3 linked regions of the Sus scrofa genome follow. The protein of the gene in region 1 interacts with the protein of each later gene in a pairwise test. Links are inferred from orthologs where the notes say so. Each region holds a gene or a part of one and is shown in the gene's direction. Other genes may lie near its edges.

Region 1 (10,181 bases):
GGATCTGGAGTTGCTGTGCCTGTGGTGTAGGCGGGTAGCAAGAGCTCCAATTAGACCCCTAGCCTGGGAACCTCCATGTGCTGTCGGTGTGGCCCTCAAAAGACAAAAAAAAAAAGTAGTTAAAGCTGAGGACTTCAAGCTCCTTTATGCAATACAGAGTCTTTTTCTCAAAAATACCACCAAGATTCATTAAATCTTAAGGGATTACTACTGGGTTCCACAGTGCTCAGGATGCAGAAATGGAGAAAACACTCTTTCCGTCTTGAAAAGTAAACATATGAAAATTACAATGCAGAGTCCCCTGGTGGCCTGGCAATTAAGGATCCAGCGTTATCACTGCAGCAGCTTGGGTCACTGCTGTGGCAAAGGTATGATCCCTGGCCTGGGAACATCAGCGTGCTGTGGGCATGACCAAGAATAAACACAAAAAAAGAAAAACTTGCAATGCAATGAGGCAATATGGGTACCTTCGGACTTTTCCTGTCACCTCAAAAGTGGTTATCTGCACTCAAAACTAAGCCTAAAGAATCCTCAAATATGCTACAAGCTGAAGAAAGCAGAAAACACTTAGGGGTCAGAGACCTACTCCAACTAACCATGGCCCCAGGCCCCAGCATTTCTCCAGCTTATATAAAACACCTCACTCGCTCTGCCCATCTGGGCAGAGGCAAAACAGCAGCAGGACACAGAAAGACCGGGTGGTGTGGAAGAGCCTGCCTTCCACCTCCAGAGCAACGAGGATGTCTGAGCCGGCCGTCCTCCTCTTCCTCTTTGTTCACTCTCCCTTCAGAGACCTGCCTTAACAGCACCAAAAGATCACCAGCTTTTCTGAGAATCCTATAATCACTGGTCTGGCTTTGAGATAATCAGAGGTAGCCTGAAGCTCCATTACCCAGTGCTGACCAGCAGCCACACACGGCTATTGAGCACTTGAAATATGGCTGGTCTGAAGGGAAACATGCTGTCTGTGTAAAATAAACTCCAGATTTTGAAGACTTAGTCTGCGGGGGGGGGGGGGGAGAATGCAAAAAACAAACAAACAAAACAACAACGACAACAACAACAAAAAAACCTCTGTATTTTTTAAATTGATTACATGGTGAAATGATAGTATTTTGGACACAGTATATGGATACATAAAATATTAAAATTAATTCCACCTGTTTAAGTTTTTTAGTGTGGCTACCAAGACATTTAAAATTACGTTTCTGGAGTTCCCATCGTGGCTCAGTGGTTAATGAATCTGACTAGGAACCATGAAGTTGCGGGTTCGATCCCTGGCCTTGCTCAGTGGGTTAAGGATCCGGCGTTGCCGTGACCTGTGGTGTAGGTTGCAGACGCGGCTTGGATCCCGAGTTGCTGTGGCTCTGGTGCAGGCCAGTGGCTATCGCTCCGATTCGACCCCTAGCCTGGGAACCTCCACATGCCGTGGGAGCAGCCCAAGAAATTGCAAAAAAAATAAATAAATAAAAAATAAATAAAATTACGTTTCTTACCAATGAGATCCTGCTGTGTAGCACTGGGAACTACATATACTCAAATGATGGAGCATGATAATGAGCGAAAATAGAATGTCTACATGTATGTGTAACTGGGTCACCATGCTGTACAGTAGAAAAAAAATTGTATGGTGAAATAACTATTAAAATAATAATAAATAAATAAACAAACAAAATTACGTTTCTATTGGACAGCGCTGCCTCGAAGGTTAAAAAAAGCCAGAGCTGAGAAGCCCTAGACCAGCAGAGCTTTACACCACATGGACCACAAGGGGGCGGTACTGCAGTACCCAGCTGCCTCGGTACTGCAGGACAAGTGGGCGGGCTCCCGACGTTTTTTAATGCTATCTTTTAAGAGTGGTTTTAAACTGCTTTTTCTAAAATTTAAATGTCGCATATTATAGTAACCCCTAAGTTAATATAAATCATTTCTCTAGGCCAGGAGTCTAAAACTCCTGAATTACGACATTCAAGGCTGGAATTTTAAGGAAGCTGAAAGTTTCTCACCATCACAGCTAGGGAATAAAGAGGGACTCTTGAATTCAAGGCAAGAGGAACCGGGAAGCTGTGCCCCAGAACAGAAGTGAAAGCTGAGTAAAGCTGGAAAGTGAATAAAAGCTGGAGGAGAGAGGGCTGGAGAAAAGGGAGGTCGAGGTGTGCTGCCAGGAGGATTACAGGGAGCGGGTAGAGGCTTATGGGGGGATGGGTGAGCCTCTGGGCACACTCCCATTCTCATCAAAATGCTACCAATCTGAGTGTAAACTGGAACCACCTTTCTGGGGGGTAACTTGTAAGTGTATATTAAAAGACTTTAAAACCTTGACCCAATAATTCCATTCTTGTAACTTACTATAAGAAAAAATTTAAACTGCACAAATATTTGGCCATAAGAATATTCATCCAGCATTTGTCACAGCCAAAACCCAAACATAACAACGACAACAACAAAACTATAAGCAACCTAACTGTACATTAATAAGGGGTTGGTTAAGCTATAATATGTAATATTTTCTAAGTATTACAAATGCCGTAAATGAACTTTATGTCAGAAAGACATTTTTGCTAAATTTTGTGAAAAAGATAAGCTACAGAATTGTTTGTACAATATGTGTGTCAACTTAGCTTTAAAAAAGAAAAAACAATAACACAAAGTATACATTTGCAAAGACAACCAACCGGCGGAAAGAATATTCTCCAAGGCCTTATCAGTCATCTCCGGACAAAGACAATGGGTGGGCTTTCTTTCCTTATTTTTACAACTGCTTTTTTTTTTAATTTTTGTCTTTATGTCTTTTCTAGGGCCGCTCCTGCGGCATATGGAGGTTCCCAGGCTAGGGGTCGAATCGGAGCTGTAGTAGCCCGCCTACGCCAGAGCCACCACAGCAACGTGGGATCGAGCCGGGTCTGCGACCTACACCACAGCTCACCGCAACGCCGGATCTTTAACCCACTAAGCAAGCCAGGGATCGAACATACAACCTCATGGTTCCTAGTCGGATTCGTTAGCCACTGAGCCACGACCAGAACTCCCTATAACTGCTTTTGTAATTAACTTTTTTTAAAGGTTACTTTTTAAGTGGTCCTACCCAGTCTTTATTACAATGACACCTTCTTTCTCAAACGTTCCCGAATCCTCTCCAAAGAGGAAGAACCAACGTCTTCGAAAAATCGCAACACTTGCCCCCCTACCCAGCTTGGGGTTTTAATTTTGTTCCGCCTCATCCTCTAGTCCCTTGTCCTTCCTCTCTTTGTCCCTCCAAGCCTGGGGAACCCTTCATCGGAATCCTGTGTCTCTCTTGTCTGTCCCTGCCCTACCACCTGGATGGGACCCCGCGGGGCCGGCCGGATTATTGTAAAACTTCAACCAGACCTGGCCCGACTTCTCGGAGTCGGTGGAATCGAAATCCAAAGGTCTGTACGGCGGAGACAAAGGGACAGGCCAGGAAGCTGGCTCCAAGGGAAGACTACAGACCTCCCTCCCGGGGGTACATCCCGCGCGGTCCCCTCGCGGGTCGCACCCCAGGCAGCAGAACCCCGCCCAGCTCGCGGCGGCAGAGGGCGCGTAATGACATCATCCCGGAGAAAACGCCGAGACTGCGCCACGAAGTTTGTCCCTTTGGAGGCGCCGTCCAGGTCCGCGTCCTGCTCGCATCATGTGACTGACCAAGCGGAGCCGGAGACCAGTTTCCTAGGAGAAGACCCACCGTGGGTGGTGCGCCCGGCGGACGGCGGCGGGATGGAAGCAACCTTGGAGCAGCACTTGGAGGACACGTAAGTAATGTGGCCACGTCGGCCTGTCCTGGGTTCGCGGCGGGCCTGTCCTTGAGCGCAACAGAAGGCGCGAGCTGTGACTGCCCGCTGGGCTTCTTGGGGACGTTCTCTCCCCGGGCCGCCGATGGGAGTGGAGGGTAACCCGGAATTAAATCCCGCCGGTGCTCCGCACACTCCCTCCGGAACAAGTGTCCCGGGTCCGAGCCCAAATCCCGCCTGTCGTGTAGAAATTGTTTGGGCGGGGCCGTTCTTTAGGAGTTTTAGGAACCGAGTTCATTTGGGGGAAGGAGGTACCTACCACCTGTATCTTCAGTGTAAACGTAAACACACACGCGTACCTCCTTCTGGTGTAACCAGTTATTTGGTGCTCAAGAAGATGAAAGACATCCTTTAAATTTTTCGAACAGATAGTGTCTACGTAAAATCCAAAATTAGAAAAGTTTAAGACGGCGTACAGGGAGACACCTCCCTTGCATCAGGGCCGCTCAGCTTCCCACTTCCTCTCCATGGGGCAACCAGTTTTAGTTAGCTTTTCAGCAGTTCTTTCAAGTGAGAGAGTAGGCTAAAATACATATTTTTAACGAGGGCAACAAAATCCTAGCTATTGCAACGTTTGTAGCCCTCCAAAGCTTAGCAGTACCTGGCAGTCTTTTCTCTCATCAGAGAGAAATTAGTTTAACCATCATTAAAGTTAGCTTATTATGATTTAATGTAATTTTTCTTGGAGTAGGGATGAGGGATAAAGAAAAAAGACTAACACTGATTTAAAGCACTTAACAGCAGTGCTGGGTACATAGAAAGCCTGTGTGTGTTATATTTAAATCCATTTTTCCTACATCATTTGCTTCTTTCTTCCTGTGTCCCTGGAATTAGAATGAAGAATCCATCCATTGTTGGAGTCCTGTGCACAGATTCACAAGGACTCAATCTGGGATGTAAGTATCTGACAACAGCCCTTCCAGGGATTGCACAGCACTTGATGTTGACTGGGAGCCTAGGGTGCTTTCTCTAGTTTGCATTTCCTGCCACCCTGCCACTTTTGGGGGACTTTTCTGTAAATAGAGATCATCTCCCAATAGCAAAATTAGAAAACTGAATGTTTTCAGTTGATACTTATAAAGGTGGAGATGTCCCTTGCAGTTCTAGCACTACATAGTTGTTTCTTCTAGAATAGTATTTGAATCATTCTAAACAGAGTCTAGAAAGGACTTCAGATAATGACAGCAGTTACCATTTATTGAATGTATTTTGGGACTGCTAAATTTCCCCAGTAACCCTGCCAGATGGATGGTGTTATTTTTTAGTTCAACTTCACTGAACAGTAAGTAGGCAGTAAAAATGAGGGGTGCAAGCTCAGACACACCTAGGTTCAACCCCCAGCCCTCCCCTGTACTACTAGTGTGAACCTGGACCAAAAAGAACCTTTCCGAATTTCAGTTTCTGTAGTGGGTTGTTGTTTGATAATAATTATTATTATGGAATTGCACTTACTGAGCTCTATGTGCCAGGCACCATTATAAGCACTTTCCACATATCAAGTCATTTAATCCTTGTAACAATCCTATGAGGTAGATAAAGAAATTGAGGCACAGAGGTTGAGTAACTGGACCAGGGTCATACAACTAGTAAGTGATTGAGCTAGGATTTGAGTCTGGCCCCAAAGCCTCTACATCACAATAATATAGGATCATATAAAATATGTAAAACACTCAGCACAGAACCCAGACATGATGCTCAACAGATAGTAACAAATTGCAGATGAGGAAAGAAATCCAGAAAGGTAAACAATGGGAGGCTTCAGCTAATTAATGTCAGAACTAGTAAACCCAGGACACCCTGCTCACTACTCTTCTGTTCTGCAAGATTTTTTTAAAGCTCTGAATTTTTGCAGGGAGGGTAATTGAAAGAATTAGTCTGTGTAACTCAGGTTTTATACACAAATCAGTTAGTTGGAAGAAAAGGGAGATTTTTTTTTTTTTTTTTTTGAGGTGCTTGCCAGGTTTACAGATGGAAAGGTTGAGATTCAAGTATGGAAATCTAAAACTAAATTAATTTCTTTAAGAAACTTTCAAGGTCCCACAGATGAACCTACCTACAAAACAGAAACAGACTCACAGACATAAAGAACAGACTTGTGGTTGCCAAGGGGGAGGAGGGAGGGAGTGGGATGGACTGGGAGTTTGGGGTTAGTAGATGCAAACTATTACATGTAGAATGGAGAAACCATGAGGTCCTACTGTATACCCCAGGGAACTATATCCAATCTCTTAGGATAGACCATGATGGAAGATAATATAAGAAAAGAAATGTGTGTGTGTGCGGTCACTTTGCTGTACAGCAGAAATTGGCATGACATTGTAAATCAATTACTGTTTAATAAAAATATATATAAATTTATTTTTTTATTGCTCAAATGAATTTATCACATCTGTAGTTGTATAATGATCATAACAATCCAATTTCACAGGATTTCCATCCCATAAAAAATATATATATATAAATTTTATATACATTCTAAAAAAGAAGCTTTTAAGGCCCAAAAGACTACATTGTGTCTGTCCAGTTAATGTTTTATAAACAACAGTAACTTCATCAACTCTGCATAGTAGCATGTACATTACCTGACCTGGTTTCAAGTACATGGGCTTGTGTTGCCTCTATATACAGAAATATACGGTAAACTTAGTGATTACTTTTTGTACCTCACACCTAAGTTATTATCTACAGGCTAAAACAGACATTAGTAAAAAGCTAATTCTGTTCCTATTTGAAAACAACCAGCTTGTTCTAATGGACATAATTGCTTATAGAATAGTTATGTATGCTGTTAAGGAGATCCTACAGCTAAACTCTTGAGCCAAGATCTTTATATTCTTTGAAGTTGAACTCAGTAAAAGGAAATTAGATTTCCCATGAGGAATTAATTAGTTGGGATTTTTGGGGGAGGGCCTCACCCACAGCATGCAAAGTTCCCAGGCCAGGGATCAAACCCATGCCACAGCTATGCCAGCACCATAGCAGTGACAATGCTAGATCCTTAACCCACTGAGCTATGAGGGAACTCCAGGAATTAATTAGTTTCAACGTCTCTTGTCCTTACTGACTGCTTTTTGTCAGTCTCACCTCTGAATTTCGTCTTGGTTTCAGTTTGCTTCCAGACTGACTTGAATTATAGCTTCCTTACATGCTTGAGAAGGTGTTTGAAGATGGTGATGGAAATGACTTGGAGAACTGAGTGTTACGGCTTTATTGACTTAAAAGCTGTTGTCTGGCTTCCTCACTGAGATAACCAGCTGAGTCTCAGGGCAGAATCATTTCATGTCCGTACAGTACTAACAGTAGCTAAGAGCCCAGGAGCTGACCCTTCTTTTTGTGAATAACTGAGTTTAGTTCTACTATAGCTCTGTACTCATTTTTGGACAGTCAGGCAACATGATACCATATCTGTCTTCTAGGCCGAGGGACCCTGTCTGATGAGCATGCTGGGGTGATATCTGTCCTAGCCCAGCAAGCAGCTAAGCTAACCTCAGACCCCACCGATATTCCTGTCGTGTGTCTAGAATCAGATAACGGGTGAGTAGATGTCAGCAGATCCCTTCCTTTCCTTTTGATTCAGAAAAAGCCCTGGGGAACTTGACTGGGGCTTGCCCTGTGTTCATTTAAAGTACTTGGAGGATGGTTCCGCCCTTTGGACCATAGGAGCTGTTGCATTGATCTCTGAAGCTCTTGTGCTTTCAGACCACAGTGGTACATGTAAATGAAGAGTAAGAGCTGTCACGAACTATCAGTAAAAGAAAGCAGAGGAAGACTAAACCAAGAACAGAAACGGTGTGTGTAGTAATAGAAATATAAAGATGTTTTGAGTGAGGGTCCTCTGAACAATAGTAAATGAAAAAAGCAGAATACAAAACTATGCTCATTATGATCACAGTTTTGTAAAATGAGAAGATATGTATGCTATACACCAGATTAAAAAAGGAAGATACTAATAATGGTTGTCTTTGATACGATTATAAAATTAATTTCATTTTCGTATTTTATACTTTTCTGTATTTCCCAAATGCTCTGTTGTGTTTATATATTGCTTTTATACATAGAAAAATGATAAGTACTATTTTTTTAGTTGTATCCTAAACCAAACAGCATCTTTAATCTTACACTGACTCCCACCTGTAGCCTTTTACTGAATATCTTCCACTTTGCCTTTCAGGAACATCATGATCCAGAAGCACGATGGCATCACAGTGGCCGTGCATAAAATGGCCTCTTGACACCCTGTGTCCATTCTCCTGCAGCCTGTCACAGGGCCTCATTCATACTTACCTTACAGAACTATTCAAGTTCCAGTAGTTAGGCTGTTCGTATAATGTGCATTGGGTGCTTTTCTATTAATTTTAGAGTAAGCTGCTTTTTGCCATTCCATGGATTGACTTATCAAAATACTGGTTAGGAAAGTATCATGTTTTGAAGCAGCAGGTTTAGGTCACTTTATATATAGAATCTTGTTATGTTTAATAAACCTGGTTAGAGGAAAGCTTGGATCTTTTCTGGATTCTTTAAATTCTTATCAAATGTTTATTTTTCAATTACCAAATTGTAATCTTTAAAAGGTAACTGCTCCAAACTCTTCCCTTGTGGAAGCTCCTGAAATACAGAGGATCTCACAGATGCATCCGTGGATATGTAAAACAAGTCAAACATACTCCTACCCCACAATAAAAAAAATAATAGCATGGGGTTCCTCTTGTGGCTCAGTGGGTTACAAACCCGACTAGTATCCTTGAGGACGCAGGTTCGATCCCTGGCATCGCTCAGTGGGTTAAGGATCCAGCATTGCTGGAAGCTGTGGCGTAGGTTGCAGATGCATCTTGGATCTAGTGTGGCTGTGGCTGTGGTGTTGGCTGGCAGCTATAGTTCTGATTCCACCCCTAGCCTAGAACTTCCATATGCCGCAGGTGCGGCCCTAGAAAGCAAAAAAAAAAAAAAAACAAAAAAAAGCAAAAACCAAAAAACACTAGAGCAGATACATTAGGTACTTACCGTATGCCAGGAATATATTTAATTCTCATTAACAACCCTATATGGGTTATCAGCAGAGAGATGGAAGCAACTCACATCTACGGATGGGTGGATATATAAACGAAATATGGTATATACATACCATGGTATAATAGCCTTAAAAAAGGAACGGAATTCTGACGCATGCTACAACACAGAGGACTCTGGAGGACATTATGATGAGTGAAATAAGCCAGTCACAAAAAAAAAAAAAAAAAAACAAATTCTCTATGATTCCACCTACCTGAGGTACCTAGAGCAGTCAAATTCATATAGAAAGTAGAATGGTGGTTGCCAGGGATAAGAAATGGGGAATTACTGTATAATTCATAGAGTTTCAGTTTACAAGATGAAAAGAGTCCTAGAGGTGGATGGTGGTGATTGTTGTAATAACAAATGAATGTATCTAATACCACTGAACTCTACACTTGGGAATGGTTAAGACAAGGAGTTCTCTGGTGGCCTAGCAGTTAAAGATGTAGTGTTGTCACTGCAGTGGCTTGGGTCACTGCTGTGGCATGGTTTCCATCCCTGGCCTGGGCGGTTCCATACACCATGGGCACAGCTAAAAAAATCCAGAATGGTTAAGATGGTAAAATTTATGTTGAATGTATCTTACCACAATAAATAATTTTAAAAACGTGAATAACTTCAACAAGTGGTGCTGGGAAAACTGAACAGCTGCATGTAAATCAGTGAAACTAGAACACACCCTAACATCATGAACTAAAATAAACTCAAAATGGCTTAAAGACTTAAACATAAGGCAAGACGTCATTAAACTCCTAGAAGAGAACACAGGCATTCTCTGACATCAACTGTACAAATGTTTTCTTAGGTCAGTCTCCTAAGGCTCATTTAATTATCTTACTCTTACGAGGTATTACATCCATTTCAGAGAGGACAAAATAAGCTCATCAAGATAAAGTAATCGGCTCAGAATAAAATAGAGATAATACAAAAAAAGTTGGCAGAAAGGGAATAAAAGAGAATGAAAAATGAAAGGCAAATACATTGTCTAGTCTAGATGATAGGAAGAACTGGGTGTCATAAAAGCAGTCAACTCAGAGAAGGATTACACGAAAAAGATGGCCAGGTTTGATTGTGGATATGTTGAAACTGAATTTCTGACAGGATACCCAGGTGGTAATACTCAATAAAAAAACAGGTATTGGGCGCCCCCCCATGTCCAGGCATGGTGCCAAACCTCCCTTCAGGGATCTCCCATTGCATTTAGAACAAAATCCAAAGTTCTTACCACGGGGTCCTAAGTCCTGCATGGTCCAGTCCCCGGCCACCGCTTGGGCCACATCTCACGCCACCCTCCACCTACTCACATCCTCTCCCTAGCAC
Region 2 (10,192 bases), on another chromosome or scaffold:
AAAAAAAAGACCAAAGGGGGGGGAAAAAAAGAGCAAGAGAGTAACATTTCATTGTATAACTTCTGTTTGATTTTTTGCTATGTACAAGTATTACCTGTTTCAAATTTTTTACAAATAAAAAAATACCAATGGAGTTCACATTGTGGCTCAGCAGTTAACAAATCTGACTAGTATCCATAAGGACTCAGATTCAATCCCTGGCCTCGCTCAGTAAAGAATCCAGCATTGCCTCAGCTGTGGTGTAGGTCACAGACAAGGCTCAGATCCTGCGTTGCTGTGGCTGTGGTGTAGGCCAGCAGCTGCAGCTCTGATTTGACTCCTAGCCTGGGAATCTCCATATGCTGTAGGTGCGGCCCTAAAAAGACCAAAAAAAAAAAAAAAAAAAAAAGAAAGAAAAGAAAAGAAAAGAAAAGATACCAATGAGTTTATGTTCTCCACTAAGTTAGCTTTCACAAGGCATACCAATTGAGGACAGGTGTTCCTCAAAAAACCTGTAGAAACAGTCTTAACTAGATAAGTGAATGCCCTGAATGTCTTCTCATGTCTCATTGCACATTAGAATTGTGGGAGGTGTTAAGTAGGAATATTGAACAGAACCATGTTAACAGATACACTGAAAGGCCAAGAATGCTGGCTATCACAGTTTGGTGAACAGCAGATCCTCCTCCTCTGACTCCAATACCACCTCTTTTTTTTTTTTTTAGACTAGGCTACCTAGATCTGCTAGTAAAAGCTTGGACTAGCTTTCCGGTCAGATTATGTGGGTTTCAGTGCTGCTCCACTGAGCCCCAACATACTTGCAGAAAAGACTTCCAATAAGTATTAAGTGAAAAAAAGCAAAGTGAAATACTTTTCTGCAAAAAAAGTGAAACTTAAAAGAAAGAATTTATGTCTGCATTTGCTTATTTTGCATAAATTATCAATTGCCTACAGGACCTCCATCTGTAAAATGTGGGTGCTGAGATTATGTTAAATATTGCAAATACTAGAACAGTGCCTGGCACCCTGAAGTACCATTTTAGGTGGATTTTCAATCCAAATAATTCCCTGGCTCAATCACATTCTAAATACCCTTTTATAAATCATGTTCAATTGGCAGAGGCAAGATGAAAATGCAGCAAGCCACAGCAAAATGTAATTACTTAAAGCTGCTCTAAATTAGGTCCAAAGCAGAGTGATTAGCCAATACTGAAAAGATGCTTGGTGAACACAATTACTACAGAAATATCAAAGAACTATAACTGGTTTCCCTTTTACTAAGTACATTTATTTAGTTACTGCCAAGATCCTTTTTCCCTCCTTTTAGGGAAAACAATGTATTTTAACAGCTTGCTACTCTAAATGGTATAAGCAACTTTAAAGAAAATCTTAAGCAAAACACAACCTTAGAGTGCGACCCCAAAACACATTAACAAGCCTCAACAAAGTTACTGTTACCGGTTTAACATCTAAAGTTAGAAAAAGGCATACTGTAACTGCTGTAACATCGTGGGGAAAAAATGCGCTAGAATTATACTCAAAACAGAGAGTCTGGGGGAAAGGTATCCTTTTTTTTTAAAGAACAAGATTTGCTTCGTCTTTCAGAGGCCACGCCACGGTGACGGAAACCGTCCGGCACCCCAAGCCACGTGGGGTTCTCGGCCTCCTCCCAGGCGTTTCCTTCCGCAGTCAGAGGACCGAAGCGAGTGACCTCCAGGAGGGGGCGGGAGGGGACTGGCAACCCCGGTCCCAGGGAGCGCAGCCCGCACGTCCCCGAAGGCGCCGCAGACCCGCGGATGCCGGAGCGCGCGGGCGGCTGGAGGCGCGGGCGCGGGACAGCCTGTGGGGCCCCGCCCTGACCCCGCCGCCTTGGTCGTCCTGCCTAGCTGCTAGGGTGCGCCCCCAGCCGCGCGGGCTTCCCCGGGACGCGCGTTCCCGCCTCCCTGAGAGCATAAATGTGAACCCTGCGTGGAGAAAAGGCTTTCGGACAGCGTCTAACCAAACTCACAGTATGGCTCGAGTTCCCTCCAGTCCCCCCAAATCTCAGCCATTTTCGGAGCGTGAGCAAGACCACCCCAGTCCTTGGTGCCCAGCAGGTTATGTACATAAATCAAGAACTAATGCAGAATTTTGCTGTTCCATAGGTGCTATTGGAAAAGGATTCTCTATAAAGTATTTATGAAGTGTACATGCTCTTATCTGAAGGCGCAGGGCCTTGGGAACAACTTTTAATGAACTGGGCGTATTTTACAGAAATCATTTTTCTCACTTTTTCTAAACTAAAATTATACTCGATGCTTTTCTTTCTTACCAAAGTCCATTTTCATCGTGACTTTTCTTAGATTAGATGTTAACTACAACTCTGGATTCTATGTAAAACTTTGAAATATTCAACTTTTGTATTTAGTCTTTGCTTCCTTCCCTTCTGTCACTAAATAACTATTTTTTTACCGTTTTCAAAATTTTCCCAGTCCTAGGGTATTATGTCCAACAATGTACAAACCTAAACTATTGGAGGTATATGGAAAGAAAGCATGGTAACCAAACGGAAAATTTTAAATCTAGTGTGGCACTCTGATCTTAATCTGAAATAGCACTATGCAGTTAATATAACTGTGGTAAACAAAATATGGCTAATTGTGGGAATCTAATTCCAAAGAGACTAGCCATTAATGTTTCCAAGGCAATAAATACAAACAAAGGTATTTGAATTATTCTATTGCTAGTGATTAGTTTTCACTATTTTTTTTTTTTTTTTTTTTTTTTTGGTCTTTTTAGGGCCACACCCATGGCATGTGGAGGTTCCCAGGCTAGGGGTCCAATCAGAGCTGCAGCTGCTGGCCTGCACCACAGCCACACAGCCACACAGCCACAGCAACGCCAGATCTGAGCCCCACCTGCAACCTACACCACAGCTCATGGCAATGCCATATCCATAACCCACTGAGCGAGGCCGGGGATTGGACCTGCTTGCTCAGACTCGTTTCCGCTGAGCCATGATGGGAACTCTATTCTCACATCTTTATCTTATTACAAACATGGACTAGCATATCAAGATAATTTCATCCCACATATATATGATTGGGTAAGTTCACTAGGAAAATGAATTGTGAAAAAAAGAATTTGTGAAAAAAAAGCTAGAAATATAGGCATTATTGAAAAGGCTTTCATTGCTAGAAAAAGATTAGTTATATATGTTCCTAGAGAAACTTTACATGGCTTAGTTTCTTTCATGAAAACGATCTCAAAGTTCAAACAAGGATACGAACTTTTTTTTTTTTTTTTTTTTTTTGGCCTCACTTGCTGGCCAAAAAAAAGACCAGGGATCAAATCCCATCCCTGCAGCTGCAACCTACACCACAGCTGTGGCAACAGGAAGGTCCTTAACCCACTTTGCCACAGCAGGAACTCTTAAACCTGAATACAAACTCTTAAACCTGAATTTTTTTTTTTTTTTAGAAATTTACATCTTGGGAGTTCCCGTCGTGGCGCAGTGGTCAACGAATCTGACTAGGAACCATGAGGTTGCGGGTTCGATCCCTACCCTTGGTCAGTGGGTTAAGGATCCGCTGTTGCCATGAGCTGTGGTGTAGGTCGCAGGTGCCGCTCGGATCCCGCGTTGCTGTGGCTCTGGCGTAGGCCGGCGGCTACAGCTCCGATTAGACGCCTAGCCTGGGAACCTCCCATATGCCGCGGGAGCGGCCCAAGAAATGGCAAAAAGACAAAAAAAAAAAAAAAAGAAAAAAAAAGAAATTTACATCTACAAAGAATGGTAAAAGATACAGGAAAACTATTTCAGAAAACCTTTTAAAAAGAAAATAAGCTATTGGATGGTGAAAAGAAACTAAAAGGACTGGAAAAACTAGATTCTACAATGGAATAGAAAGTAAGGAAGCACCATACAAATTTGCTTTTAACTACTTCCCATTGCTCTATATATTAGTTTCCCTTTTCCAATTAGATTGTGGGTTTCTTCCCCCAAAGGAAGTATTTCTTTTGCATATGCTTCGGAGCCACTCTTAGCTCTGGCCACATAGTAGGTTCTCAAATATTTGTTGATAGATTGGCTCAAAAAGTTGCAGTAGTGCTCTACACGTGGAAGAGACGATCTAGTAATTAGCTCATTTAAAATAAAGGTTCCTCTTTCTTCAGGAATATTTTTGAATATCTGCCTGATTGCCAACCAAAAAGGCCTCATCTTGTCTTGCCCTGGATTTATGCCTAAAATGCAGTCACAATGGATAGGACGACAAAAGATGAAGCCGTTTATTCAAATGGGATAGGCCATTTTTGAGAAACAGTGATTTCACAGCAAACGTTGGAGTAGTAAATTGGGTGGATAAGCTTCCTGGCGCTGTAGATCTTAGTCTCTACTTGAGATCGTGTATAAGCACTGAACTCAAAAAATTCTTTTTAGGTTTTTCATGCTTGCAACCAAGAGTATACACTGGAAAAAAAATGTTAATAGGAGGGTAGACACACACTCAGGGTCTTAAACGTAATAAAATTAGGATTAGAAGTAAAGAAAACTGTAGTACTTAAGTCTATTCTAAACTCAAAAACTGGACGTCTGGAGTACCACGTGGTGTGTAGAACGAACTTAGATAAAAGAACTGAATGGAAAAAGCCAAGAGGTCAGCGCAGGAGCCTGTTCGCCAGGCTGTTGGTCAGCAAACTGAGCCACTCGCGGATTCTCGGCCCTGAAGACCGCCCCGAGGCCCCTGCCGCCGCGGTTCCCCGGCCTTTTACGCCTCCCTCTCCAGCCGGAAGGGGCGCGGACGGCAAGGGCGGTGGAGAAGCCCCGGCAGAGGAAGCGGCTCCAGGGGTTAGTCCTTAACCTGCGAGACCGCAAGACTGAGGACCGGTGGGGTACTGCCGGGTAAGGGCTCCCATCTCGGTCCAACTTTGCAGTTAAGCTACGACCGGTTCAGGGAAGATTCTGGACGCCTCCCCGCCGCCCCACCCCCCAGCTGTGCGGAGAGTAATTCATACAAAAGGAGGACTCTCCTCAGCCAGGGAAATCCCAGGGACCGTCGATAAACTCCCACTAAACCTAGAACCGAGTGAGCGCTCGACCCCGCCTCCCACCCACCAGCAGTCGTCATCCTCCTGGTTGAGAGGAGCATGCGCCGGGCGCCGTGTGCTCGTCAGTGGGCTGAACGCACATCGCCCACGGTCCCCGAAGATGGGGGGAGGGGACGGCGGTGGAACCGGTGCCGGGTGGAGGTGGCGCGGGGTAAACTGGGAAAGTGGTGTCGTGTGCTGGCTCCGCCCTTTTCCCCGAGGGTGGGGGAGGACCATATATAAGCGCCGTGGTCCCCGCGAACGTTCTTTTTCGCAACGGGTTTGCCGCCAGGACACAGGTGAGTACGGGTGTGGCCTCCGTCCGCATGGCCTCCGCCGGTGGCCACGGCCTTAGCGTGCCTCCCGGCCCCCCGCGCGTAGAGGGCTCTGCGCCCTGGTCCTGATTCCGAGCTGCGGGCGGGGGGAGGTGGAGAACTCGAGGCCCTCCGCTCTCGCGGTTCCCTACCGCGTGCCCGGTGGCGGCCTGCTGGGGCGCCGTGGCCGCCGCGTGCGATCCGCGCCTTCGCGCCCGCCCCGTCTGTCTTCGCGCTCGAGTTCGGCCGGCAGCCGCGTGTTACTGCCAGGGCGGCCCAGCCGAGGCCGCCCAAGGTGGCCTCCGTGCCCGGCGGTCCCGGGGCAGACGGCCGCGGCGGGGCGGGGCGGGCGGTCGGAGACCCAGCGCCCCGCCCGGGCGGGCTGCGAGCGCGGAAAGATGGCCGCTCCCGGTCTCAAGATGGAGGACGCGGACGGCGGGCGGCGCACAAAGGGCCGGGCGGTGCTGCCCGCGCCGCTTCCCGGGACTCGCGGCCCGGGTGGGGGAGGGGCTGGGCGCCGGGGCGGCCCCGTTCGCTGGGTGTAGGCCGGGCAGGGCCCGCAGGGCGCCGGTGCTAATGCTCCCTGGAGTTTGCCCTTGGCTGTTGGGGTTGTGCCTGAGTCTCCGGTCGTCGGGACAGTAGTTTAAAGAAGGTTTTTGTCGTCTTAGGTGTCGTGAAAGCCATCGCTAAAAGCTAAGCAAAAATGGGAAAGGAGAAGACTCACATCAACATCGTCGTCATCGGACACGTCGATTCGGGCAAGTCCACCACTACTGGCCATCTGATCTACAAATGCGGTGGGATCGACAAAAGAACCATCGAAAAGTTCGAAAAAGAGGCTGCGGAGGTCGGTAAAGTAACGTCAGCAAATTAAGTGGTAGTTCTCTAAAACTAGTGTATATCTGACTTGAACTAGTACATTGCAAAGTTTGCTAAGTGGCTTAACTCCAGCCAAGTTTAGGAGATGGAAGTGAAACCTAGCATTGCTTCCAAGTGGGACTAAGGAGTTTAGTTACCGAGTAACCCTTCTTAATCCCTGCAGATGGGAAAGGGCTCCTTCAAGTATGCCTGGGTCTTGGACAAACTAAAGGCTGAACGTGAGCGTGGTATTACCATTGACATCTCCCTGTGGAAATTCGAGACCAGCAAGTACTACGTGACCATCATTGATGCTCCAGGACACAGAGACTTTATTAAGAACATGATTACAGGCACTTCCCAGGTTTGTAGGATTAAGAACTCCTGAGAGTAACATTTTGAGTTATCTATAAATTGGCGAAACCATGGATCTGTCCTTTTTGGAGAGGTTTTCACAGGGTGTGGCCTTTTTTTCTTTTTTAAAGGCTGACTGTGCTGTCCTGATTGTTGCTGCTGGTGTTGGTGAATTCGAAGCAGGTATTTCCAAGAACGGGCAGACCCGTGAGCATGCTCTTCTGGCCTACACCCTGGGTGTGAAACAGCTCATTGTTGGCGTTAACAAAATGGATTCCACTGAGCCACCCTACAGCCAGAAGAGATATGAAGAGATTGTAAAGGAAGTCAGCACCTACATTAAGAAAATTGGCTACAACCCTGATACAGTAGCATTTGTGCCAATTTCTGGCTGGAATGGTGACAACATGCTGGAGCCAAGTGCTAATGTAAGTGGTTTTGATGAGTTCTCAAAACTTAAGTCTGGGAAGGGATAAGTTTGAAAACACTAATTGATGATCTTGTGTTTTAGATGCCTTGGTTCAAGGGATGGAAAGTCACCCGTAAAGATGGCAATGCCAGTGGAACCACACTGCTTGAAGCTCTGGATTGCATTCTACCACCAACTCGTCCAACTGACAAGCCCTTGCGCCTGCCCCTCCAGGACGTCTACAAAATTGGTGGTAAGTTGAACGTTACACTCAGCTGGTATGGGTTGCAGTGATGTTTGTCTTCATACGAGATAATTATGCTGTGCTGTGAATACTTCAGGTATTGGTACAGTCCCTGTGGGCCGAGTGGAGACCGGTGTTCTCAAACCTGGCATGGTGGTCACCTTTGCTCCAGTCAATGTTACAACTGAAGTCAAGTCTGTTGAAATGCACCATGAAGCTTTGAGTGAAGCCCTTCCTGGGGACAACGTGGGCTTTAATGTCAAAAACGTGTCTGTCAAAGACGTTCGTCGTGGCAATGTGGCTGGTGACAGCAAAAATGACCCACCTATGGAAGCAGCTGGCTTTACAGCTCAGGTAACACTTCAGTGACAGGTTTTTAAACTGCCAGAACCTTAACTGTCTAAATGTCTAAAATGTGCTAAATGCAAATTTTCTCCCTAAGGTGATTATCCTGAACCATCCTGGCCAGATCAGTGCTGGTTACGCACCTGTGCTGGATTGCCACACAGCTCACATTGCCTGCAAGTTTGCTGAACTGAAGGAGAAGATTGATCGTCGTTCTGGGAAAAAGCTGGAAGATGGCCCCAAGTTCTTGAAATCTGGTGATGCTGCCATTGTCGATATGGTTCCTGGCAAGCCCATGTGTGTTGAGAGCTTCTCTGACTATCCTCCTCTGGGTAAGAGTGCCTTTTTAGTGTAATTAAGCTTCAGTAAAAATGGAAAAGCAGTTATGTAGAGAAAGTGTTTCTCATGGTGATTTAATTTTTGTTTTAATAGGCCGATTTGCTGTTCGTGACATGAGACAGACAGTTGCTGTGGGTGTCATCAAAGCTGTGGACAAGAAGGCAGCTGGAGCTGGCAAGGTCACCAAGTCTGCTCAGAAAGCTCAGAAGGCTAAATGAATATTATCCCCAATACCTGCCACCCCAGTCTTAATCAGTGGTGGAAGAACGGTCTCAGAACTGTTTGTCTCAATTGGCCATTTAAGTTTAATAGTAAAAGACTGGTTAATGATAACAATGCATCGTAAAACCTTCAGAAGGAAAGGAGAATGTTTTGTGGACCATTTGTTTTGTGTGTGGCAGTTTTTAAGTTATTAGTTTTTAAAATCAGTACTTTTTAATGGAAACAACTTGACCAAAAATCTGTCACAGAATTTTGAGACCCATTAAAAAAAGTTTAATGAGAAACTTGTGTGTTCTTTTGGTCAACAGAGTAACTTCCTATGAAGGTAAAGGCTGGTCATAACCTATTTCTAGTGTTAAGATTTGTGGATGTTTTTTTCTGGGTATGAGCTTCATGTTTCTCAAGACTGTCTACAGAGAACTCAAATCTGCTTAATTACAGAGCCAAGTGTTGGCACAACACTTAATAGGTTAGGATAGATAAGCAAACAATGACTTTATGTAAGCTAGGTTGTAAGAACCTCAAATTGTGAAAGGTTATGTTGCATAAGACTATATAGGTTCATAAATTGAGTAAGTCAAAAGTTGTTTCCCAGTCATGGGGAATGTAGAATCACATTGACAGTACTGGAGTAATGTGGGGTTTCAATAGTATTGAGCTCTTACCCTGCTTGGGGCATCAAAGAGTCTAGAAAAAGTAAAATGCTGGAAGTGCACTTCCTGTTACTTAAGTAGAAATTCTGAATAGAGGTTTTTATCTAATGAACAAGGTTGGTGGAAGAGATTGCCATACTGAAGATTAAAGAAGCATTTTGAGGAACTATGGTGATAGAAGGGCCCTTTGCAGTTAAGTGTATGGTAGGGTGAAGAAGTTTGGAAACGTGTAAGTTAACAGCTGTTTACAACACTGCTTGCTGGAAGGTCAGAATCTGAAAATGGCTCAAAAAGGGTCATGGTTAATATCCTTGGGTGTTGACAACAATTGAGGGACCTGAGTTGGGGTAGTTAAGTCTGAGTACACTTGTGTATTTGATGAAGCAGTCTATAATTCTGTGATATTGGCTTGGCTTTTCAGATTAAAGGGAAATTTACCCAGCTGGAATTTTGGTGAAATCACCAGATGTATTCTATATGGCTTTTTTTGCTAATTTTGCTTAAGTGTCCAATTAAGTATGTAGATGAGAACTTTGCAGTTGGAAGATGTATTTTCCTTTATCACTTAACCAAACATCCCTGAGGCCAGCTCCACTTTCTTAGCCTTTGGTTTGAAAAGACTGAAGATGGAGACAAAATGGCGTTAAGAATTGCTGGCTGTCAAGTGGAGCTGATGGAACAGCAAATCTGACAAAGCTGGAGGATTTTAAATCCAACCCCCGCCCTTAAACTACAGAAAGTAACTCAGTTCTGAAGAGGAGCAGGGCCACACACAGTTGGTCTACATTGTCTATTATACCAGATTGTCTGATTTGAGCACCACCTACTGGTCACTACAAAGTAGGTTAAAGTAACTTCTCTAGGTTCAGAATGAAGTGTCTTTGGTTTTTGGGGGGGGGGCTCCTGAGGTTTTTTACACAAAGTTGCCTTTCCTTTTATTTGAATGATAAAATTTGCTTTATAAAAAACCGCTTGATCTTAAACTATATTTTAGGTTGGCTAGCTGTTGAAATACAGTGTATAGGATGTATTAGAGATGTTGAAACTTGTACCCAGGAATTCTGGTGCGGTTTCAAGATAGGAAAATGGGAAAGGCATTCTGGATTAAGAGTTTTTAACACAGGTTGCCAGTAGTAATACATTTCTTATTTTTAAACTACTGTGGTTACCAGAATAGGCAATCTTGAATAAATTCGGGCCAGATCTTGACAGTTACTTAATCCCATTAACAGAATTTACCTCCCATATCTGGTGCATGAGCAGCTTAGCTGTCTGGACCAAGAGGGAGATAGATAAAATTTACTGTGAATTAATCAACTCATTCCCAAGAATCAATTCAGGTGAATAATTCCTTTGAAACTACCACAGACTCTACACCCCCCCCCCCCCGCCCCCCAGCCTATGCACCTGG
Region 3 (10,405 bases), on another chromosome or scaffold:
GGCCGGCGCGGACCTCTTTCTCCAGCTCGCGGTGGCGGTTGTGCCACACGAGGTAGTGCAGCGGGTACTTGCCCTCGGGCCCTTTCCTGGCGGAGGCGTTGGCGGGGATCATCGCCCGCTCCTCATGCCGGGGCCGCGGCGCCCGGCCCGGGAGGAGGGACGGCGCCAGAGCCGGGGCCCGGGGCCGCGGGGCGGGGGGCCGGCGCTGCCTGCTCGCAGGGCTGCGGCTCGGGCATGTGCGAGCGGCGCCGGCGGGCGGGGGTGGCGCGCCCGGCGCGGTGCGGGCGGCGCGGGCCGCGGGCGTCCTCGCGAGGCGGCGGCGGGTGGCGCGGAGAGGCCCCCACCCGCCCGGGGAGGGCGCGGGCACTCGGCGGCGCGGCGCGGACTCGCGCCTCGCCTCCCACACCCCCGCACACAAAGACGCCGCTCGGTGGAGGGAACAGGCGCCCGCAGCGGGGGCGCACGGGGCGCGGGCCCCAGAGACGCCGTCGCCGCAGGGACGCGCGCCCGCGGCCCCCGGCGCCCCGCAGCTGCATAGCCCGGCCCTCTGCCCGAGCGGCCGGCGAGGGATGCGGGGATGCGGGGGAGACAGGAGGGGGACGCGGGTGCTCCGGGCGAGCTGGTTATAACTTGGCCCCGCAGCATCATGGGGCTTGTAGTCCGCCGCGTGGAACCAGGGTGGCGAGTGGCGGAAGAGGGTTCCGCACTGACGCTCCTTTGATCTGCTGAGAGGATGGTGAGGCATTCAGGCCTGGCCGGAGCGGAGACAGTGCCCTGACGCCAGATGGATGGGGGCGCAACCCCCATCCGCTGGCATTTTTGCCTTTTGCTGGGGAAGGAGGAGGGGGTTACAGGCCTTGCTCAAGCATTAGGGAGTGTGGAAAGGTGTGGCCTTCGGTATTGAGTTTGGGTCCCGATGGAACGTGAGCAGGGATCCACATTCCAAGAAAAGAGTGATTGACAGGACTCCCGAGAAGGGTGCGGGGTGTTAGTGCCATGGGTCATTGCACCAATCAGGAATCTGGCACCTAAAATACTACATAGGAGTCTTCCTTGCCTTTTATTATATATATATATATTTTTTTATATTTCCTGCCTTTTGAAATTAAACTCCATCTACCACATTTGACATTAGAAAGAGGATGTCCGTTAAAGCCAGGAGGACAGACTCTTCTTCCCCCATACTGTTCTCTGCAAGGACCCGAGTGGGGCTGGGCATAGACAGCAGCAGGTGGCAGTTCCCACCTCCTCCCATGTCCCCTCAGGAGAGAAAGTGACTGACTCCAGAGCTTGTCTTCTTCCTGGATAACCTCAGGGCAGAGAAGTCTTTCCAGAAAGGTGCCTGCAGAGGCTATGGTAAAAGTGAAATGGCCCTCTGGGACTGCCTATTGCAAGAACTGGAAGGACCTAGTAGCTTGGCCCAGTTCCTGGAGGGAGGAGGGACTGGGAGTCTGAGAGAACCTGAGTTTGAAATCCTCCCTACCAAACGCCTGACCTTAAGCAAATTGCTTAAATTTTCTGGTTTCTCATACTGCTCACCTCTAAAATATGACTCTAAATACTACCTCCTGGAGTGAGCTAAGGATAGTGACTGCCCCTGATATTGGCACATCCCTTCCCCAACCAGGCCGACTAGGACAGGTGGCAGGACCAGGCGCAGTGCCTTCCTGAGCCCACCTTAGAACAAGACAGGCATAAGGGATTCCATACCAGCCCTACATAGAACAATCCAAGAAGCGTTTGTGTGGGAGGCGCTAGCAAAAGCTTGCAAACTCTCAAAGCCTCTGTCAGGTTTCTTTGTGTGGTCTTCTCTCCTTCCTACTCCACACCCTGCAGTGCCAGCCCTGGGCGGGAAAGGATGAGGGAGGAGTGGACTGCCTCGCCCCTTTCTTCAGCCCGGGAGGAGCCAGTTGCCATCTCCAGCAGCCGGGGACCGCTGCCCAGCTCCACCACGAGGGGTCAGCAGAGTGTCGTGGCTGCAGCCTGAGTTGGGGAGGAGGCTGGAGCTGGGAAGGGACGACTAGGAGTGGCCCGGAGAATGCCTGTACTTTTTCCCCGTTAAATTGTTTTTAGAACCTTGTGATTTCTCTTTTAACTGCCTTGTTTCCTGAAGAGGCGACGTCGCCAAAGGGAGATCCTGCTGAAATCCTTTTACCCCTAGCCCCAGGCCTAGAAGCTCGGCTGTAGCGAGGCTGGGGGCTTCAGGAACAAAGTTTGGAGAGTGGATCCGTGCTTGGGCCACTCCCAGGTAGTCCCAGGGCCAACCAGGAGATGGGGCTAGTGGGGTTGAAGGAACAGGGTGACTCATGCCTCTTCCCCTGGAAAGGCTTGGAGCTCTAGGAGGAAGGGACCTCAGCCTGGACTGGGGGCCCTATCCTCCCGGCAGCCAGTTTCTCTTTTTGGTCCCGCAGCCCTGGACTCTAAACCCAGGTCGCTTTTCCTCGCCTGCGCGCTCTCTAGCTGCCACGTGCTCGAGACGCGCCCACACAGCAGAGAAACAAAGACAGTCGAGCTATGGGGCTGCCAGCAGCCGCCTCGACATTTAATAAATGAAATTCCATAGCTGGGGGTCGATCGGGGGTGAACGGGCGGCCACCGCTCAAGGGCTGTGCGGTGTGTGTGTGTGTGTGTGTGTGTGTGTGTGTGTATACGCGCGCGCGTGCCTCCTGGCCGTTCCTCCCATCGCCAGGGGTGGGACCACCAACTCGGCGGACGGACTCCTGAGGGTGGGGGGTGCAGCACCGGGCGGCAGGTGGTGCCCCCCCCCCCCCACCGCGAGGTATCTTTGCTCCCAGAAGCCCTGCAAGCTGAACGGCTGGCTACGGGGGGGGAGGGGAAGACTGCAAGGAGATTTTTTTAAGGTGCGATTATAAATATACCCCGTGGATCGCGATTTCAAACAAACTTGTCAATCTGGGCTGCAGAGAAAGGCGATGGAGGCAGCTTTGCATGTATTTCGGGTGGTGTGACTCATGAGCATTACTTGTCTCCCCCAGGGAAGCAGCCTGCCCACCCACAAGTCACTGCTGCTCTGGCACCGCTGGTTTAAAATCAACCAACTCCTGCACCCCTGCCCAAGGACTCGCCTCCTACCCCCACCCCTTGTTACTAAGCAGGACTCCCCGCCTGCCACTGGGGAACCCTCCTTTAATCGTGTCACCACTTCATCAGGACCCATTGGGCCTGGGCCTTAGCACCCCTGCCCTCTCTCCACAAACCCAGCGCTTTAGCCTTTCTTGCTGCAAGATGGGGGTTGGGTGCACGTGGGGCACACGTGTATGGGGGAGCATGCTCAGTGCTGGGGTGCACCCACGTGTGGCCTGCTGCCTCCTCTCCCTGTCCCCCATCCTCCAACGAGTCTCTGTGTGAAGTCCAGGAGGAAAAACCACCGCAAAAAAGGCCCCTGTATGTTATATGCTTGTGCCCTGGACACGCAGACTTCCCGTGGCTCAGAAACACCAATGATGTATGCAAGACCGATGCCAAGTGGGTATTACTGTACACAGGCACAGTGGTCACTGCTCAGGAGGTCTTCAAAAACAGTCCACACTCTTTCATTTCTGGATGGAAGCCGGGAGGAGGGATAGATGTTTATTCAGCTCGGAGGCAGGGGTATACACTGCATGACCTCTGGCACTTGGGCGTCCATATTGTTGGCGGTGTGCGTAGTCAACAAGAGTGTGACCACACAAACACCTGGACACACAGATGTGAACACACAGCGGACCAGGACGCACAACTCACCCCAAACAGAGACAGGAACGTTACCCCGAACCACAGCCTCTGGATGAGGAGGGGGGCCTGGGCCTTCAGCTCCTTACTCTCTTCTTTGATCCCCAGGGGTCACTGTCCCTGGGCTCAAGCTCCCCGGGCCAGCTTCCGTCTCAGTGAAGGGGATGGGGCTGTGGGGCTAGCTCGCACAGCCTCAGGGACAGGGGCGCGCCGGAGCCCAGTGCAGGGCGCAGGCGACGCTGCAGCGCGGGCCCGGCGGCGGCGGCGGCGGCCGCGGCCCCTTTAAACGCCCCCACCCCCTCCCGCCCGCGCTCCCGGCTTCCTTTCTCCGGGAGGCGCGGCCGGCAGGGCCCGGCGGTGGGGCGGGTGTGCAGGCTGCCCCTCCCCCGGTGGGCCGGGCCTGCGCCGCTTCCTGCAGGAGCGGCCGAGAGCCGCGCAGGGGGCGGAGAGAGCGAGCGGCGAGCGGCGGCGGGGCGGCGCGGGGCGGCGCGGGGCGGAGGGCGCCCGAGGGCGAGCGGGCGGGCGGGCACGGCGGGTTCCGGGCCAGCCCCGGGGGCGGACGGTTGGCCGGGCGCGCGGAGCCTAGCCGGGGCCTTGCCGGAGCCGGGCCGGGCAGCAGGGGCCGCCGCCGCCCGGGCCCGCCGCCCGCGCCCCCCACGCTGGCCCAGAGGGCTGCGGCCGCGTCGCCGCTGAGGATGTCCCGGAAGGGGCCGCGAGCGGAGGTGTGTGCGGACTGCAGCGCCCCGGGTAAGCGGGGCCGGGCCGGGGGCGGGACCGCGCACCGAGGCGCCGCCGGGCGGGCGCCGGGGCCTGGCGGGAGCGCCGTGCGGGGCCGGAGGGCGGGGCGGGGCTGGGGGCTGCGGCCTCCGGCCTCGGCCCCCGCCCCGGCCGCTGCCGAGCCTCGTCCTTGGCGGGAGGGCCGTCCTGGGGGCCCCAGTTTCCTCGTGTCCGTGGACAAGCGAGAAAGGACATTCCCGGCGCCGCCTCCCACCCCTCAGTCAGAGGGAGGCGGGCAGCTGGCTGCACCCCCCGCTTCCATCTCATATCCAAACGGAAGCGCCAGCCTGGGGTGGCAGGAGGGCTGTGGCGAGGCCGGTCGGGGTTTAGGAGGTGGGGGCGAGTGAGGTTTTGTGTCATCTCAGTGCCACCCCCGCGTCTTGCACCTGCTGCTCGCATGGTCTGCACGCCCGCTGGGGTGGCGGAGGGCAAGGGGCAGAGAGCTGGGCAGATGGGCTAGGGGGGGTCTGGATACTGTTTCCTCTGGAGCATTTGACGGGGTGGCTACTCCTAGGACTCCTTGCCCCTGGCTCCCAAGGCTGGGGCCCTTTGCAGGGCCTGGTGTTCAGGGCCACTTGAGCCTGGGCATCTTCCCCTGAGGCGTCCCCAGGCCTGATGACTGGAAACGAGATTCAGCTTCCCCTGTGCTCCAGTAAGGCCTGCTTGGAAGGTGGGCTTGGCATTGCCCCAACCTGAGCACAGACCCCTTGCCATCTCCTAGGCCAGTCTGGTCAGAAATGGGTGGGGAGCAGTGCCAAGGGGTGCCTAGATTCCTGAGATTCACCTGGCTTCCTGGCCTGCCTTCTGGCTGTAGTCGCCGTGGTTTTTCTCTTATTCCCAGCAGAGTCAGGTCCAGGTGAAACCCCTTGACCTGCTGAGGGAGTGAGAAGCAGTGACCTGGAGAGGATGCTTCCTTCTGATGTGGGAGGACGCTGCCGGTGATGGGGCTCAGCATCTGGCCCGGGGAAGGAAGCCCTGGCCCTTGACCGGCCTCTCTTTTTATAAAAGGAGCTATCTTGCTGGGAGACCGGGTGGACTCAGGGAGGGGGGACTATGGGCGCAATTAAGCATGAGTGTGGGGTGTTGTTTTGTGTGCCCATAACTTCCAGCCACCCTTTGGAGAGGTCCAGGACCCCCAACAGGTTGAGAGCAACAGACGCTCTGGTGGTTCTGATGTCTCCAAGCTAGAGTGTTTGGGAACTGTGGGTGCCTGGCAGAGGCATGGTAGTCTGGGTAGTCATGACCCTGAGGCCTCCTCTCAGGGCATGTTAGGGTCCAGAGTGCCCCCAAGAAGCTATGGGGGAGGAGGTGGGTCATCCGACCTTACCCCTGATGAGTTAGAAACTACTATCTCCTTCCCCCAAATGCAGGCAGGTCTGGGGATGGAAGGGCTAAGAGGAGAACTTGTTTTCTCAGTGCCTGTCCCAGGCCGCCCTTTTGCATCTCTGCTGGACACACGTCACAGTGGGGGTGGGAAGGGCAAGTAAGAGTGGGAGGGGGTGCTTAGTAGATATCTTATCAGGGGAGCCTGGATTTTGGTGTTGCCTTTGTTTCCAGCTTACTCTGACTCATGGCAAGACTTTTCCCCCTCAGGGTCTCAGGTTCCTCAACTCTGAGGTAAAGAAGTTGGAATAGAAATGGTTTTTAAGATCTATCCAGAAGTTCCTGCTATGGCTCAGTGGTTAACAGATCCGACTAGGAATCACAAGGTTGCGGGTTCAATCCCTGCCCTCGCCAAGTGGGTTAAGGATCCAGCCGCTCAGATCTGGCGTTGCTATGGCTCTGGCGTAGGCTGGTGGCTACAGTTCCGATTAGACCCCTAGCCTTGGAACCTCCATATGCTGTGGGTGAGGCCCTAGAAAAAGACCAAAAAAAAAAAAAACTATCCTATCTCCAAAGTCTGTGGTCCTGATTCTGGACCTGGGGGACACAGGCAGCATTATCAAGGCAGTTGTCCTTTCTCCATTGCTTTTGACCATTTGGCTGAAGTCTCTAGATGCTCAGCGGGCATAGGGAGGAGTGGTATGTATCTGGTGTGTTGGGGTGCCCAACCCAGCTCGTACCCCAAGTCCTCATCCCACAGAGACCTTTTGTGCTCCTGGTACTACCTTTTCCCCTGATCCAGAATACAGGTCAGGAAGAGGCAGGTGGTATGGTGGGCAGGGTGCCATCAAAGTCTTCTTCATCACCCAACCCCTGCACCTAGCATGCTGTCTGGTAGGCATTCCCTAAGGGTCTGGATGCTTCTCAGGACCTCAGCTGACTTTTTAGGGGCACCTGCACCCTATGATGCATGGGGTGGCATTCTCAGTCTGGGACCTATAGCAGCTTAGGTAAGAGGCTTGAGGGAAACCAACAGTCTGGAGCCCAGGCCCAGAGCCACCTCCTTGGAATATGCTTCCTACCCAAAGTCATAAGCTTCTCACTGTAATAGGAGCCCTGCAATCTGCCCTAGGAGTGGGGTTGTGGCCCTTTTGTGGTTGGTTAATTTGCAGGGTCATGGAGCTGAAAAGTAAGGTGCAGCCTGACCCCAAAGGGCTCTGTCCTTTCTCTCCTCCCAGGCCTGGACACACAGGGAACAGCTGTGAGGCAGCTGGGCATGGCATGGCTGGTCTGGCAGCTGGTGCCACCTCGTCAGGCACCATCTGTGTCCCTTCCTACCTTGGGAATCCAGGAGAGGGACAGGGGTCAGGGAACCCTGGAGAATGTGTGTTCTCCCTTCCTGCCCCTCCCCTCCCCCTGCCACACAGTCCTGGCTCAGCTCTCAAGGGCCTGCTCCTCGTGTCTGCCATGGGCCTCCATCCAGGCTTCCCACTTTGGTAGCCTCAGGCACAGGCTGTGAAGACCCCAAGATACCCACCCTACAAGCAGCTTGAGTGAGCAAGGCTGGTCACTAGCTAGAAGCATTTGGGAACCAGCAGGCTCATTTCTCTCTTCATGATATAGATGGTGGGTGGGCTGACAGGTGGGCTTTCTTCTTTGATTGAAGTATTACTGAAGTACATCAAAGTGCCTGTCTCTTGCTGTTTAGCCTGATGAGTTTTTACCTGTGGATATACCTGTGTAACCACGACTCTGATTGAGAGAGTTTCCATCACTTTACAGTTTATTGTGTTTTCTCCCAGTCAGCGCCCTCCAAAGGCAACCACCATTCTGACCTTTATCCCAATGGATTACTCTTGCCTGTTTTCAAGATGGCAGGTTCTCCCTCTTCTCTGGTGAGGATCTGGTCCCTAGATCAGGAGAGGCTGGCTGCTGGCCCTAGAGCCGCTAAAGACTTTGGGTGGGGACGTGACTTCACCTTAGCAGAGGCCTCCATGGGTTTAGCGCTGGTTAACATGATCCCAGGATGCCTCCTGCCACGTGCCCACACATACCAGACTCCCACCCTGAGGCAGAAGCCCAGGGGGAAGGTTGGCAGGACACTGAGGAGGTGACCAGCTCCCCTAACCCTTAACATCCCCTGCTCCTCCTGCCCCGAGTTTGGGGCAAGAGTCCCTTAACCTTAAACCACAATCGCCATTTGACTTTCAGAAACCCTTCATAGCCCTTCGGCTTAGAAACTGGCCTAGGTGGGGCTTTGGGCTCCGGCCTGGGTAGGCCCAGGCCCCTCGGGCACAGGGAGTAGGTAGGGAGTTAGGGTGGGATTCCCATCTGTGTCATCCAGAACTGAGCTGGCATCCGTGTGCCCCAGACCGGGTGAGTGTCCCCTGCCCATCCGTCCTATTTCAGGTCTCGGTGGAAGACAGGACCTCTCCCCCAGGCTGGGAGAGTGCCAAGCAGAGCCTTAGACCACTCTCCCCAGATCCTGGTTTCTGGGTCACTGTCACATTCAGGGACTTACCTTGTCTGGTCTGGCCCCGGATATCTGGCCAGCCTTTCCGGGCCTAGCCTCTCCGAGCAGGCCATAGGTCTGGGATGGAGGCCTTAGGGCGGCCCATTTATGATCCTGGCCTGGGCGGCTCCCTACTGACAGGAAACCCCACCATTTCAACAAGAGGAATTCAGGCTGCGTCATTTCCAGCTTCCTGCCTGGGCCGCTGCCACCGGAGATGGCTGGCAGGCAGACCCCGGCCCAGTGGTGTTTGGGAGTGGGGGAAGGAGCTTTCCATGCCTGGGGGTGCCTCCCAGTTTGGGTAAAGCCAACACTAAAGTTTGCTCTAGGGCGCCCCCTCTTGGCAGAGATGATGGGACCCTTCCCCTGGGGCCCCTAGAATCAGCCCCTGAGGAAGGTGTTTGGGGTCACCTCCTACATTGCTCTGCCCTGTTTTGGAGGGTTCCCCACAGAAGCCCAGACCCAAGAGCTGAGCCCCTCTTTCACTTCCTGTTTCCATTCCATGGAGGGGACACTCGCCATGGCAGTGTCCTGACTCAGTTTCCTCACAGTTCTTTGGGGAGCTTTCATGTAAATCCTTTTGGAAGGGGACTGAGCATTGCCTTCTGGTTGGAGAGGCTCTCGTTACCCCAAGCCTATGCCCTCCCCTGGGGGGCCCCTCTGGACAACATGAGCAGTAGGGGCAAGGCTCAGAGCCAGCTCCCCCCACCCCCACCCCCAGGACAGGGCTCCCTGAGCTGGGCGGGGGCCTGGGCAGAGCAGTGTCCTGGGAGAGAGGCTCCCTGCCCCCACTCCAGCGCGCACAATGGCTGCTTTCTCCCCCGTGACCTTTCCGCAGCCTGAGCTGCATGTAGCTGTCTCCTCCCCTCTCCCAAGGGGCCCTGGATGGGTGGCATCTCCCTTACCCTTGAGAAGCAGCTCAGGAGCTCCCACCCCACTGTGGCCCCCTTCTCCCCAGGGGGTGGAGAGTGGCTCCCGGGCCCTCGACCCCTTGGGGCTGCCCCCCTTCGGGGCTGCAACGGCAACTGGTGTGGATGTGGCAGGGTCTCCAGCCTCTAAATGCCTGGACAATCCCGCTCAGTAGCTGTATGACCTCGAATAAGCACCCCAACCTCTCTGGGACAGTTTCCTCACTGGTAAAGCAGGGGTAGCATTTCCCACCTTGCCTGACAATTGTCACAGGCACCATAGTTAGGGCACCCAGCTTGTACACACTGGGTGCTCCTTTGCTGTCTCCGTCCCCCTTAAGAGGGGCTCCAGCTCACCCCATCAGTGGTAGTGGCAGGAGGCTGGGTTGTGAAAAGGCCTCTTGCCTGCCAGGATGAGGGCAGAGGTAGGAGCCCCAGGAGGGGTGTGATGGGTCAGGCAGGTGGGCCAGTGCTTCCAAAAGAGGCCCGGGTGCAGGAGAGATGTGGCACTGCCGGGGGCAGTGTGGCATGTAGCATGGGGGACGCAACCCCAGGGAATGCCTGGCTCCCTGGGGAAGGGCTGTGGGACTGGTAGCAGTGGCTGCAGGACAGGAAGCTGTGCCCACTGAATAGGCCCTGGGGACCACACTTCCCCAGAGGGGCAGAGACGGATAGGAAAGGGCTTGGCTCTATCAGTGGCGCTGGCTGCCAGCCCCTGGGGAGTCCCTCCCACCGCCCGAGCTCAGCTTCCTCATCAAGGCCCCGGCCACCAGGGCCTTAGGGGACTGAGTGAGCGAATATGCACCAAGCCCTAAGCGGAGCACGGACCCACCGCAGGCATGCAGGCGGGCTCAGCAGCGTCTGGCTGTGGCTGACCCTCGCCCCCGCCCCGCAGACCCTGGCTGGGCCTCCATCAGCAGGGGTGTGCTGGTGTGTGACGAGTGCTGCAGCGTGCACCGGAGCCTGGGACGCCACATCTCCATCGTCAAGCACCTTCGCCACAGCGCCTGGCCCCCCACACTGCTGCAGGTACGGCTGCGCTGGGCGGTTCGTCCTTCCCCGCAGAGTGTGCTGAGCATGGGCACATCTCCCCCGCACCCACATCCACGACTGTCGGGATGCTGCAGCTTCCAGGGGGCAGCACCTACCTGGG

What was found.
Region 2: the proteins of LAMTOR5 (region 1) and EEF1A1 interact in a two-hybrid assay, tested with the Homo sapiens proteins (2 studies listed by BioGRID and IntAct). The link is inferred for Sus scrofa from reciprocal best matches to the Homo sapiens genes LAMTOR5 and EEF1A1.
Region 3: the proteins of LAMTOR5 (region 1) and GIT1 interact in a two-hybrid assay, tested with the Homo sapiens proteins (2 studies listed by BioGRID and IntAct). The link is inferred for Sus scrofa from reciprocal best matches to the Homo sapiens genes LAMTOR5 and GIT1.

What each region holds. Positions count from the first base shown.
Region 1 is NC_010446.5:109,719,231-109,729,411, forward strand, and holds LAMTOR5 (ragulator complex protein LAMTOR5), read left to right. Parts: upstream 1-3,433; 5' UTR 3,434-3,564; coding exon 3,565-3,770; intron 3,771-4,643; coding exon 4,644-4,705; intron 4,706-7,225; coding exon 7,226-7,343; intron 7,344-7,980; coding exon 7,981-8,041; 3' UTR 8,042-9,048; downstream 9,049-10,181. UniProt on the Homo sapiens protein: As part of the Ragulator complex it is involved in amino acid sensing and activation of mTORC1, a signaling complex promoting cell growth in response to growth factors, energy levels, and amino acids.
Region 2 is NC_010443.5:92,416,642-92,426,833, forward strand, and holds EEF1A1 (elongation factor 1-alpha 1), read left to right. Parts: upstream 1-5,309; 5' UTR 5,310-5,342; intron 5,343-6,025; 5' UTR 6,026-6,060; coding exon 6,061-6,204; intron 6,205-6,399; coding exon 6,400-6,579; intron 6,580-6,700; coding exon 6,701-6,997; intron 6,998-7,080; coding exon 7,081-7,231; intron 7,232-7,319; coding exon 7,320-7,576; intron 7,577-7,664; coding exon 7,665-7,899; intron 7,900-7,999; coding exon 8,000-8,124; 3' UTR 8,125-8,412; downstream 8,413-10,192. UniProt on the Homo sapiens protein: Translation elongation factor that catalyzes the GTP-dependent binding of aminoacyl-tRNA (aa-tRNA) to the A-site of ribosomes during the elongation phase of protein synthesis.
Region 3 is NC_010454.4:45,777,519-45,787,923, reverse strand, and holds the start of GIT1 (ARF GTPase-activating protein GIT1), read left to right. Parts: upstream 1-4,306; 5' UTR 4,307-4,427; coding exon 4,428-4,479; intron 4,480-10,147; coding exon 10,148-10,281; intron 10,282-10,405. Other genes in the region: ANKRD13B (ankyrin repeat domain-containing protein 13B), read right to left, coding at 1-112. UniProt on the Homo sapiens protein: GTPase-activating protein for ADP ribosylation factor family members, including ARF1.